Linked DNA regions of Ovis aries. The protein of the gene in region 2 interacts with the protein of the main gene of each other region in a pairwise test. Links are inferred from orthologs where the notes say so. Each region holds a gene or a part of one and is shown on either strand. Other genes may lie near its edges.

Region 1 (6,214 bases), on a different chromosome or scaffold from region 2:
TGCCCCTGAGATGGAGGTGACAAACAAACCTGACTGAGAATGATACATGGAGAGAAACAATACAGGCAGGATTTGAAAGGCCTGGGAAGACTAGACTTTCCTTTAGGCAACAGGGGGTCATAGCAAGTTCTTGCACAGGACTCAAGAAAATGGTTACAGCCAAAAGTGTTAATCTAAAACAGACAGCTAGCGAGAAGAAAGGCTACAGGCAGGAAGATGGTAGTTGTATCCATGACATGCTCACCTGGGGCAGACTCCCATCCTCCACAACCGTATCAAACTCGTTCATCATTAGCTCCCCGAGGAAGTCCTCCACCTCATCTAGCTCCAAGTCAGCTGAGTATGAAAGGATAAAGTCCTCTGGTCAAAGACCAGCCAACTTCATCACCCTTGCCCACTACTCTTAAGTACCTACTTGGTGGATCCACATCTGATTGGTGGGTAAAGATTTAATGAGACTTTTATTTGCTAAAGTGTTCTACATTCCAGGTTTTAACATGATTAAAAAAAAAACAAACATTAAATACCTAATTTCCAACCTTCTGCATTCTACCAGGTCCTCTATTCCTACAGCATTCCATCCACACTCACCCTCTTTTTAGCTGGCCTATTTTAACCAGCCTCCTCTCCACGTGACTTTGAACATGTGAGTTACTCATCTCCAAGACTGTTTTCTCTTCTGCAAAGTGAGGTTAATGGTAACCTTCTTGAAGGTCTGTTATGAGAAGTCACCCAAACAATGCCTAGCACAGGCATTGTTTGTTTGGAACAATGGAAATCCATGTTCATTTCCATTACTCAAGGGCTGAAGTTATTGAAATGTAAAGACTTCACAACTGTGGTTCCACTGACACAGGAGGCCACAGACCAATGGGATAGGTAAAAAGAAACAGATGTTCAGTACTTGCCATGATGACCTCAGTACTTGCCATGATGACCTCAGTACTTGCCACAGCCTTGACCTCAATGTCCTATTGTATGACTTTAGCTGAGACTTCCTCTCTCAGCTTCAGTTACCTTATGGGCCCATGCTCTACTTTTTCTGAATTAGAAAAAACTCAAGAAAGTCTTCCACAAAGCTCCTTGCTCTCTATTCCCTCTGGGAGAGCTCATTCACCCTCTTCACTTTCCCTACCATTCTGCTGCTGCTGCCGCTGCTGCTGCTGCTAAGTCACTTCAGTCGTATGCGACTCTGTGCAACCCCATAGACAGCAGCTCACCAGGCTGCCCCGTCCCCGGGATTCTCCAGGCAAGAACACTGGAGTGGGTTGCCATTTCCTTCTCCAATGCATGAAAGTGAAAAGTGAAAGTGAAGCCACTCAGTCGTGTCCAACTCCTAGCGACCCCATAGACTGCAGCCTCCCAGGCTCCTCCGTCCATGGGATTTTCCAGGCAAGAGTACTAGAGTGGGGTGCCACTGCCTTCTCCCCCTACCATTCTAATACCCCCCAAATCAGTCTCCAACCCAGGCTATGCTCCACCTGTTCCACAGGTGCTTCAGACCCTCCACATCCAAAGCCAGATTCATCATCTTACCCTCCAAACCTAATTTTCATTCTCCAGTGTTCTTCTAGTCCATTAAAGGTACCTAAGCCACCCAGTGACTCAAACTAGAAACCTGCCCCATTTTTCCTCCCTCTCTACAGTCAAACAATTTCCTTTGAGCCATCCCTTCTTTCCCATGACTAATGCCCTAATTCAGGCCTCATCATTTTCTAGACAGACACAGCCCTCTCCTTAGTCTTTCCCTCTAAAGTCCATGCTCCACACTGACTACTTTCTGAACTTTCTAGCCAGAAAACCCCATCCTATTAGATCCTGCTCATGAATTTTTAATCACCTAACTGTAGTGTTTCATATTCTGCTTTTGAAAAATAACTGGCCTCCTGGATTTTAAGGGAAGTTATTCAAAGAAAACTAAAGGGAAACAAAGGTAAACAGGTTTCTTTTCAGTGGTTCTTGTCCTTATCCAAGCCTTTAATATGTTAATAATTACTGTGACTCTTAAGAGCTGAAGAAAAGAGCTTTCCTTATATAATTTGACTGGAGAAGCTTTTTCTTCACTGAACATCTAATAGAACTAGTCTTCCAAAGCATGCATTCTGGCAAACGCTGGCCTAAAGGACAAAAATCAAAGGCACATAAGTCCTTCCATGTCTCATTCATTTTCCAGTGGCTTCCCCATCTCCCATCTTCATTCTCCACCACTCCTCCCTTCCACATACCCACAAGCACACACACACATCCCTACTCTAACACTGAACTCTCTGCCACTTTCCAAATATAACACATAATCTCCTCATACCACAGGACTTATTTCTGAATGTTGCTCTCTCTGCCTCCCCTCCTTATTAACTCCTTTCTCATCCCTTAAGATTCAGCCCAATCACCACCACTCCCTAAAGATCTCGGAAAGACGCCTTCTCCCGAAGCTCACATTACCCAAGCATCCTGAGCTCCTCATTATTAGAACACCTATCACCCTGTCTGCAAATGCCTATTTACTTATCTGGATCTCTCACTAGATGGTAAATTTCCTTGAGAGAAAGGACTCCGCCTAATGTCACCTCCAAGACTAAAAAACTAAATGAAGAATTCTGTAAAAACCTTATTTCGTAAAAGACTCCCTGTAGGACCCTTTGTTCTTATACGACTCTCAAGACGCATCAAAAATGTAGATCTCTGCTGTCCAAATAGTCAAACGTACTGAGCACTTAAAATGTGGCTAGGCAAAAAAACAATGAGACGTGCTAAAACTGCAAAATACCCACCAGATTTTGAAAATTTAATACTAAAAAAGGTTGTAAAACATCTCATTAACAGCGTTTTATACTGACTACATGTTGAAACATTTTGGATCTATTGAGGTGAGCAGTTCATTTCATCTGCTTGTTTTTACTTTATTAACGTGGCGGCTGAAAATTTTTAAATTACATAATGCGACTAACATGTTTCTGTAGGATCACGCTGGTGGATACTTTTACATCCATTTTACAAATTAGTAAACTGAGTATTGAGGCGGGGCGATAATACTTGTCCAGCATGATACCCGGAGTCAATGGCAACGGCCACGAGGCATTCGAACTCAGGATTCTAACTTCAAAGCCTGCGTTCATTCCACCTCGCCCTCAGGTACCAACCGACAATTGCTCAAGAAATGCGATTCAAAAAATAAAGAAAAATTTTTAAAAAATTAAAAAAAAGAAGTGCGTATTCACTAGGATCGGCGGCCTCCTCCTCCTCAAGCCCCCACAGAGAAGTCCCAGAGCCTTACATTCACTCACCATTGCGGAAGAAATACTCCTCCACTGCACCCCCCAGCCACTCAGCCTTCTCTTGGCTGTGCACACCTCCGAAGCCGTTGTCCACAGCGATCTGCGAATACAGACCCAAGCCCATCACGTCAATCGGGGAGCCCGCCTGCAGTGGCGCAGAATTCCGCTGTTTATGCCGCCCAACCAAGCTTCAGGCGGCTCGCTAAACCAACTCCTGTTCTCTAACGGTCGCTAACCTTTATCCCAACCGCGGCTCCGCTCACCTGCAAGGCGGGCCAGGCCTCCAGCGCCGCTCGGACTGCAGCCCCGAAGAGCGCTCGCACATCTTCAGCAGCGCCCGCCATCATCCGGCTGCGGACCACATGACGCCCAGGCGGGCCAATCCCTGCGCAGTATCGCCCAGACAGAAGGAGTCGAAAGCCGAGCCTAAGAATGCAGATTCGCCTTTCCGCTGACCTGGTAACAAGACAAGAGTAATAGAAAAGTCTGTCGAGGAATCGATGACACCAACACTGTTCAGTTCTGTTCAGTTCAGTCGCTCAGTCGTATCCAACTCTTTGCGACCCCATGAATCACAGCACGCCAGGCCTCCCTGTCCATCACCAACTCCCGGAGTTCACTCAGACTCAGGTCCATCGAGCCAGTGATGCCATCCAGCCATCTCATCCCCTGTCGTCCCCTTCTCCTCCTGCCCCCAATCCCTCCCAGCATCAGAGTCTTTTCCAATGAGTCAACTCTTCGCATGAGGTGGCCAAAGTACTGGAGTTTCAGCTTTAGCATCATTCTTTCCAAAGAAATCCCAGGGTTGATCTCCTTCAGAATGGACAGGTTGGATCTCCTTGCAGTCCAAGGGACTCTCAAGAGTCTTCTCCAACACCACAGTTCAAAAGCATCAATTCTTCGGCACTCAGCCTTCTTCACAGTCCAACTCTCACATCCATACATGACTACTGGAAAAACCATAGCCTTGACTAGACGGACCTTAGTCGGCAAAGTAATATCTCTGCTTTTGAATATGCTATCTAGGTTGGTCATAACTTTTCTTCCAAGGAGTAACCGTCTTTTAAATTCATGGCTGCAGTCACCATCTGCAGTGATTTTGGAGCCCAAAAAAATAAAGTCTGACACTGTTTCCACTGTTTCCCCACCTATTTCCCATGAAGTGATGGGACTAGATGCTTAACCTATAATTAAATCTAAGGAAGCCAGGAGTGGTGGACGCCTATGTCCATGAATTCGGGACACAGGGTACTGCACAGAGAAGATGTGGGGAACTTATTAAGGATGCAGATTTCAGGCCCTTGGACAGCAACCTCAGATAGCAATGCCTACAAATCTGCATTTAATAATGTATCCAGAACACTCCACCCAACAACAGCAGAATACACATTTTTCTGAAGTGCAAGTGGAACATGTTCCAGGATATGTTATCTCCTAAAGCAGCCCTCAATAAGTTTAAAAGGATTAAAACCATACAAAGATTGTTCTTCAACCACAGTGGGGTGAAATTAGAATTCAATAACAGAAAGACATTTGTGGAATTCACAAATATGTGCATTTTAACACACTTCTAAATAACAAATGAGTAAAAGAAAAAAAATCACAAGGGAAAACAAGACATCTTGAAATAGCTTGAAAACTAAGGCACAGCACACCGAAATTTATGAGGTGCAGCTAAAGCAATGCTTAAATGGAATCTTATAAACGTCCCTATTCAGTTCAGTAGAACTGATGCAAAAAAAAATTTCATTACCCATTCATAATTTAAAAAATAATAATAATAACAAATGAGTAAAAGGAAAATCACAAGGGAAAACAAGACATCTTGAAATAACTTGAAAACTAAGGCACAGCACACCAAAATTTATGAGGTACAGCTAAAGCAGTGCTTAAATGGAATCTTATAGATATAAACGTCCCTATTAAAAAAGAAAAATCTTAAATGAATAGCCTGATCTGCCACCTTCAGAAACTAGAAAAAGAATAGAGTAATCCCAAAGCAAGCAGAAGGAAGGAAGGAAATAATAAAATTGGAGAGGAAATAAATGTAACGGAAAGTAGGAAAACAATAGAGAAAATCAGTAAAACCAAAAGTACTGTTTTTAAGAAAGATCAACAAAATTGACAAAGTTTCAGCTAGATTGACTAAGTAAAAAAAGAGAAGATTCAAATTACTGAAATCAGGAATGAAAAGTGACATCACTCCCAACTAGTCAAAAAAAACCATATATTTTATGGTATCATTTATCTGAAATGTACAGAATAAGCCAATCTATAGAGACAGAAAATAGATTAATTGTTGCCTAGGAGTAGGGGACAGAGAAGGCGATGGCACCCCACTCCAGTACTCTCGCCTGGAAAATCCCATGGACGGAGGAGCCTGGTGGGCTGCAGTCCATGGGGTCGCTGGGAGTCGGACAGGACTGAGCGACTTCACTTTCACTTTTCACTTTCATGCGTTGGAGAAGGAAATGGCAACCCACTCCAGTGTTTTTGCCTGGAGAATCCCAGGGACGGGGGAGCCTGGTGGGCTGCCGTCTATGGGGTCACACAGAGTCGGACATGACTGAAGCGACTCAGCAGCAGCAGCAGCAGGAATAAGGGAAGGGGAAAATGGGGCCTGATTCCTAAGGAGTATAGGGTTTCTTTTAGTGGAAATGAAAATGTTTTGAAATTAGGTGCGGTGACAGCTGCTGTTAGGGCGTAAGTCCTGTCCTCCCCGCCCTCCCCCTCCCATTCATATATTCAAGCCCTACCTCGGAGAATGTGACTGTATCTGGAGGCAGAGTCTTTAAAGAAATGATTAAGGTAAAATGAGGCCATACAGTGAACCCTAGTCCAATATGATTGATGACCTTAGAAGAAGAGAAGATTATGGCCCAGCAGTTAGGATTGCAAGCTTCCACTGTAGGGGACACAGGGGGTTTTGATCCCTGGTC
Region 2 (6,102 bases):
CTTCCGAGGTACCTGCTTTGGCAAAGGCTGCCAGTCTTGCCTCTACGGTTCTCATGCTCACCCTTTCCACATCAATTCGGCCACCTATCCCCACTGCCACACTCTGGCAATGGAGGTCTTTGTGAAACCTCTGGTGATCTATAATAGGTTCTTTACTCAGCTTCCTTTGTGCCACTACAGTAGCGTGTACTGTCCCCCATCATGGACTTACTATACCACACTGTCATTATGTCTAGCTTTGGTAGTAGCTGCAAACTCTTCAAGGTTAAGAGTGTAAGTCAGGGTTGAGTACAGTGCTTTGCAATAAATGTTGAACAAACCAAACAATACACATAATATATGAGGTCAGGAGGCAACATTATAAAATCATGTGAACAATCTCTAAAATAATAAACAAAAAACAAAGAACCAGTTAGAAGGTACATAACACCCCACCCCTCAAAACAAAAAAGGCAGGTGAGGACTGAGAATCTGGTCCACCAATGTCCAGGATTGTGTTCTCTGCATCAGCATGAAACTATCTGGTTCTTCCCCCACTGACATAACCCAGCTGCATAAGGAAGACATCCAGGTCTTCGCAACTCTTTTCACATGTTCTCTCCCATATAAATGACTCAATTCAGTTCATAGTTAGCTTAGATTTCATGGCAAAGTTTATTTGAAGAAATAAAGAAAACTACGACAATCTCCCCATTCCAATATCTACCCTTCTGTGTGTGGACCAAGGGGCTGTAATGTGGGTGAGGATGGACAGGGAGGAGGTATGGTCCCACTGTGCAGTTATTTCTCTAGTTTTCAGCATGTGCCATCTCAGCCCTGAGTCCCTCTAACCTCGGCCTCTTGTTCAGAGCAGTGGCACTACCCTGAGAGTATTTTATTTTTAGGTCAATGGCCATCTCCTGAGTTCACTGATCACACTTCAGTCCCTGTGATCAATATGAGTGATAAGTGGTGGTCAAAGGTAGACAAGAGGCACAGACTGTGGAGGGAATACCTCTATTAAAGAGGGTTCTAAGTGACTCATGGAATTCTCAATTTGTTAAAGCGCTCAACTACAACATACAAAATAAAGGTGTTGAAAAAGTACCTACTGGTGAGAAAGTAATTTATAGACTGAAGGGTTTCCAGAAAATCATAACAAAAGAAAAGTATATAAGACCTTTACTCATAAAATTTCAGCAATGATGAGGGAAAAGTAAAGCTTAGAGCTTAGTCTCTGGATTACTAGAACTCTGAATCAAACACATCTCTAGATGGAGACCAGCTCCCTTAACTTCTCATAGAGACTGAATTAAACATTTATCATAATTTTTCTTGCTCTAACTCCTCTCTCATCAAATAAAACTTCTAATCTGAAATTTAATCCAGTTTCCTGTATGAAAGGATCGATTACAGGCAACTGATCAGTATATCTAGGGCCTGTAAACCAGTCTCCCGGAGGATAGTTAGCAAAAACCTGGAGATGAGAAATCAAGTTTTCAAATCTGTCAGGTTGAGGCCCACATCCAAGAAGAGATCCATAATATATCTATCCTTGTGGAATAACTAACAAGATATGACGTTGCTGCTAGTCCAGTGGTTAGGACTCTGCACTGTCTACTGCAGGGGTGCAGGTTCAATCCCTGGTGGCATGCTACGAGGTATGGCCAAGAAAAAACCACCAACACCAACATCAAGATACAGGATTAGGGTACTGTGGTAGTGAGCGGTAATAAGTATCCATCAGCAGTAGTGGCTCCCTTGTCCTGAAAGTTAGCATATGGCCTTAGCAATCACTTGTAAGTCCAGTGAGCAGTGGCCCAGCCCTGACCCTTGCAGAGGTCCCTATGGCGAAGGAAACAGGCATGGACTCTGAACCGGCGACCACAGTGAGGACAGGCATGTAGGGCTCCAGCATGCGTCTTCATATGCTCTGTCAGGTGGTGCTTCAGCTTGAAACGCTTGTTGCAGATGCCACAGCCAAAGGGTCGAAGGCTGAATGTCAGCATGATGTGCCGGTCACGCTTTGGCTTCACTGCAAAGCGTTTCCCACACAAACAACCAAAGCGTTTTCCATCTGCAGGGGGAGCGCCACCTAGCTTCACAGGCCCATGCACAGCCTGCCCTACTCCCCCAGGTCCCCCACCCCCTGATAGGATTTCATTCCCATGAAGATCCACTGGTTTCCAGGATGGATCACCTCCTCCAGATGTTGTCCCTGCTCCTGAGGGCAGCAGGAACCCTAGTTGTCCATTCTCTTCAGTGTTCCCTGCTGGAAACACTTTGGTCTCCTCCTTTGCTCCTACAGACTGACTTCCGCCTCCAGCTATCTCCTCCTTGGACTCAAAGGGTTCCTGCTTGATGTAGAAGATTTTGGGGGGCAATGCAGTATGAGGAGCAGGAGGCTCAGGTGGGGCACTCTCGCCCTCTGGAACTCTGCAAGGAATAGTGGATGTGGGCAGGGGGTAGGATACAGGAGGGGGAGGAAAACTCCCTGATCCTCTCTGAGGCTGAGGAGTCTGACAGGGTGCTGCTGACCCTTGGTCCTCCTCATCTTCTTCCTCATCTTCCTCTTCAACCTGAAGCTGTAATATATCTCCCAGTTCACTCCCCTCCCCTCCAATCGAGCTCTGGTTAGAAGCAGAAGACTGTGCCGGGGTCTGGAAAGGAGAAGAGCGGATGGACCAGCCTCCTGTGGTGGAAAGAAGTGTGTGGAAAGGGGCTACTCCTCGGGACGAAATCCCACCACCTGCGTTTTCCAGTTCTCTAAGGATCTCTGAGCACTGATCTACCACTTGCCACATCTGCAGGCCACTGGCCACAAGAAGGTGTGCAGGGAGAGCATCCAGGGGCAGACGGAGGTGCCCCGAATAAATGAGCTGGAGCAGCCCCTCGAAGGCATCGGCTTCGATAACGCTGGGTAGGGTGAGACGCGGTGCATCCCCCAGAAGTAGTTTGTCGTGGAAGTAAGGAGAAGCGGCGGCCAACACTGCTTTGTGGGCCCTCAGTTCGCGGCCCTGCACCAGGAGAGAGACGTCACAGAACTTTCCCTCCAGCCTGTGGCGGTTCAGGGCCTCCAGCAGCAAAGAACTGTGCTGAGGGAACTCGATCTGGATCGTCCGTGGGGCTGGGTTGCAGGCTGGGGAGGGGGCTACAGGAGGCAAAGGCGTCGAGGTATCCATGGCCTCCTGGGGAAGAAAGAGATCCCAGAGGGTCGGGTACAGGAGGTGAGAGGGCGGGGGAGAGCCCCTGCGCGACGAGGGCTGTGGAGGAAAGAAGGGGTCACAGAAGCTGTGGATAAAGACAATCGTATCTCCCCAAGCAACGTCCGCCTCCGCTGCACCCCAACGTGTGGAACTTTTCGGTAGCCGGTGGTTCGGGCAGAACAGTCCCACACACTCCCCCGCCAAGAAAACGAAAACAAACCACAACAAAACACCAACCGGGGATTGAACTTGAAGGGCCTGTGGCGAGGAGGAGGTCCTTCAGCCGCGAGCCGGATCCCGCCGGCCCGGTCGGCTTCTTCCCACCGTTCCGCTCCCCAACTCACGTGCCCGCAGAGTCCAACTCCCTGGCAGGTACCCGGGGACCGCGAGCGCCAGCCACTTGGCCCTTCCTGTCGCCACGCCCCCACGGGTACACACGCGGTCCTGCGTCCAGAGCGGCTCTGCAGCAACCGCGCCGCCTCGGCCGGAAGCCGCCTCCTCCCCGCCGGAAGCGGACCCCCGGGGAGTTGGGCGGGGCCAGGGAGGCAGCCAATCGGAGGGCGCCGGCCTACAAGCCTCACGTCGATTGGTCATGCCGGCGAGAAGGCGGTCCTGGCGGGAGGCAGTACACCCGGCTGGGGCCGCAGAGGGGATGAGAATGCGCAGGCGGTACCGAGGGTGCCACCAGTGAGCCGTGCCAGTGATTAAATGTAACGCCTGCCCCCGATGGGTGCTGAGATTAAGAGGACACCTAGCGTATTAGGTATTGTTCATATCACCTTCTATCCCACGCCCCCTCCCCCGACCCGCCACCAGCGAGGTAGGAGTTCCCATCCTTTCCTCAGGGGAAGCCGAGACGGCAAGTGCTGGCTCAGGGGCCGACTCCACAAGGCTGAGGCACCAAGTTCTTTCCTCCGTTCCGTACGGGAGCACTTTAACCAACAATGAAATAATCTTCTCTTCTAGGTAATTACTTTTAAGGGACATGTAGATGTACACTTATTTTTTATCAGATACTGCTGCTGTTCCTTAACCTCTTTTCTCTTGGGGTTAAGTGGCGCAATGGTGAGACACATGGGGGAAATTTGGCCTGTGCAAAAACCCCTACTCAAAACAATCTTGCTAGTTGGGAGAGCGATATTCTAGGGCCAAGACTATGGCGTCACACAAGGATACAGAATTTCTCCCAAGCTGTCAGCTTCCTCAAAAAGCAGTTCCTGTCACCATGCTGATCCTCCGGGAGGTCCGAGACTAGGAAAGTCAGCACCGCGGTAAAAGAACAATCTCCGTTTATTAAACATGATTTTTCTGTTTCACCACACACTCCAGAAAAAAAGGAAATGGGGCTGGGAGTGGAAGGGGCAGTGGTGGGGGAGAGAGTAGGCTGGGGGTGGGGTGGGGTGGGGAGGGAGAACGAGAAAACAAAATAAAACAGGTAGGAAGAACATCTCCCTACCCTTATTGGGGGAGAGGGAATCGTGGTGGGGAGGGGGCCAGGAAGCGCTGTACAGAGGGGTTGCCCCCAGCCCACACACACACACCCCGGATATGTACAGTACAAATCCCAGATAATTACAACAGCCAAAGAAGAGAGGAAAGGAGGTCCAGGGGTAGGGTCTGAGGTTGGGAAAGCAAGGAAGGGCACAGGGATAAAATTTCACATATTTACAACTTTTATATAAGTATAAATTTGGCCCCGGCTGGGTGTCTGTATGTAGGGGTATGGGACTGAAGGGGAACTGTCCATACAAAAGAAAGAAGGGTGGAGTCTGAGAAGTCTCAATACCAAACGCAAGAAGGGATGAGGGGGCAAGGCTGGGTAGAGGACAGCAGTCAGGGAAGAGGGGGTGCCAAGGAGGACCTTCTCTCCTCCTATGACCGACCCACCCCAAACCCCATCCATCCTACCTCCCCTATCCCGCCAGAGAGCTATGTACAGAGAAACACCGAAAAATTGTGGAGCTGGCGCTGGCGGGAGGGAGAGACGTGGAGGGAGATTGGGGGGTGGGGAGGATGAGAGGGAAGCCCAGCCCTGTCCTACCTCCCCCAGGGGACAGAGTCATGGAAGGGGGCCCCCAACACCCCTCCTCCAACACAGGTCCCCCTGCCCTGGGGGAGAGAGACATGGCTTTTCCTAGAGTAAGTTCCCCCCTCCCCCTGGGAGTAGAGACCAAGAGGTGGGGGGCAGGGGGGCTGTGTGTGTCAGGGTAGGGCAGATCAGCTAGTCTGTCCTCCCCAACATACACCCCACTCCTAAACCCTAACCCCTCCCCTGAACCTCAGTTCCACCCCACCCAACACACTGGGGGAGGGGGGGGCCTGAGCCCCCTCACCCCGCTCTGGGACCAGCCAAGAGCAGATCAGGTATGGGAAGAAAGGGAGACAAGTCCCATTCCCCCTTTGCCGCCCCCTCCCTGCCCGGCGGCCCCTCCACCCCATCTGGGTTCTGGGTGGGGAGGGAGAGTATTTGAGAGTGGTAGGAGGAGAAGGAGTTTGTGCGTGCTGAGCCCCCCCAGACGCTCCTGAGAAATCAAGGGGTAATAGGACCCCCTCACCTGGGGCCCCTCCCCATAACAAGGGGGACAGGGGAGGCCAAAATGGGGCGGTGGAGGGGAGTTAGATTGTCAGCTCTGGTTACTGCTAAAAAATCACCCTGAAGTTGAAAGTTTGGAGGTGCCGCACCCCCAGGGTGGGGGTGAGGGTCTGTCCCCCAGTGCTCAGGGGAACGATGAGGCAGAGGATGGGGATAGCACCCCGGAGTGAAGGGGTCTGTGTCCTGGGGCAAGGGTCCTGGGGGTCACAGGGGACAGCACCCCAGCAGGAAGGAAAAGGGGGCAGCTGAGGGTCCCCGCTCTCCCTCCCAGAAATGGTGCAGTGCGGGTGGGGGACTGGTGCCCCACAAGGAGGCGTTCAGGGA

Evidence for each region. The genes of interacting proteins can lie anywhere in the genome.
Region 1: the proteins of ZBTB9 (region 2) and TSR2 interact in binary tests that used the Homo sapiens proteins (3 or more experiments, as listed by UniProt). The two-hybrid records come from large-scale screens. The link is inferred for Ovis aries from reciprocal best matches to the Homo sapiens genes ZBTB9 and TSR2.

Annotation. Positions count from the first base shown.
Region 1 is NC_056080.1:52,468,526-52,474,739, reverse strand, and holds the start of TSR2 (pre-rRNA-processing protein TSR2 homolog), read right to left. Parts: upstream 3,638-6,214; 5' UTR 3,623-3,637; coding exon 3,539-3,622; intron 3,376-3,538; coding exon 3,285-3,375; intron 337-3,284; coding exon 245-336; intron 1-244. UniProt on the Homo sapiens protein: May be involved in 20S pre-rRNA processing.
Region 2 is NC_056073.1:7,780,579-7,786,680, reverse strand, and holds ZBTB9 (zinc finger and BTB domain-containing protein 9), read right to left. Parts: upstream 3,672-6,102; 5' UTR 3,530-3,671; exon of another isoform or gene 3,423-3,529; intron 3,243-3,422; exon of another isoform or gene 3,168-3,242; 5' UTR 3,162-3,167; coding exon 1,773-3,161; 3' UTR 636-1,772; downstream 1-635. UniProt on the Homo sapiens protein: May be involved in transcriptional regulation.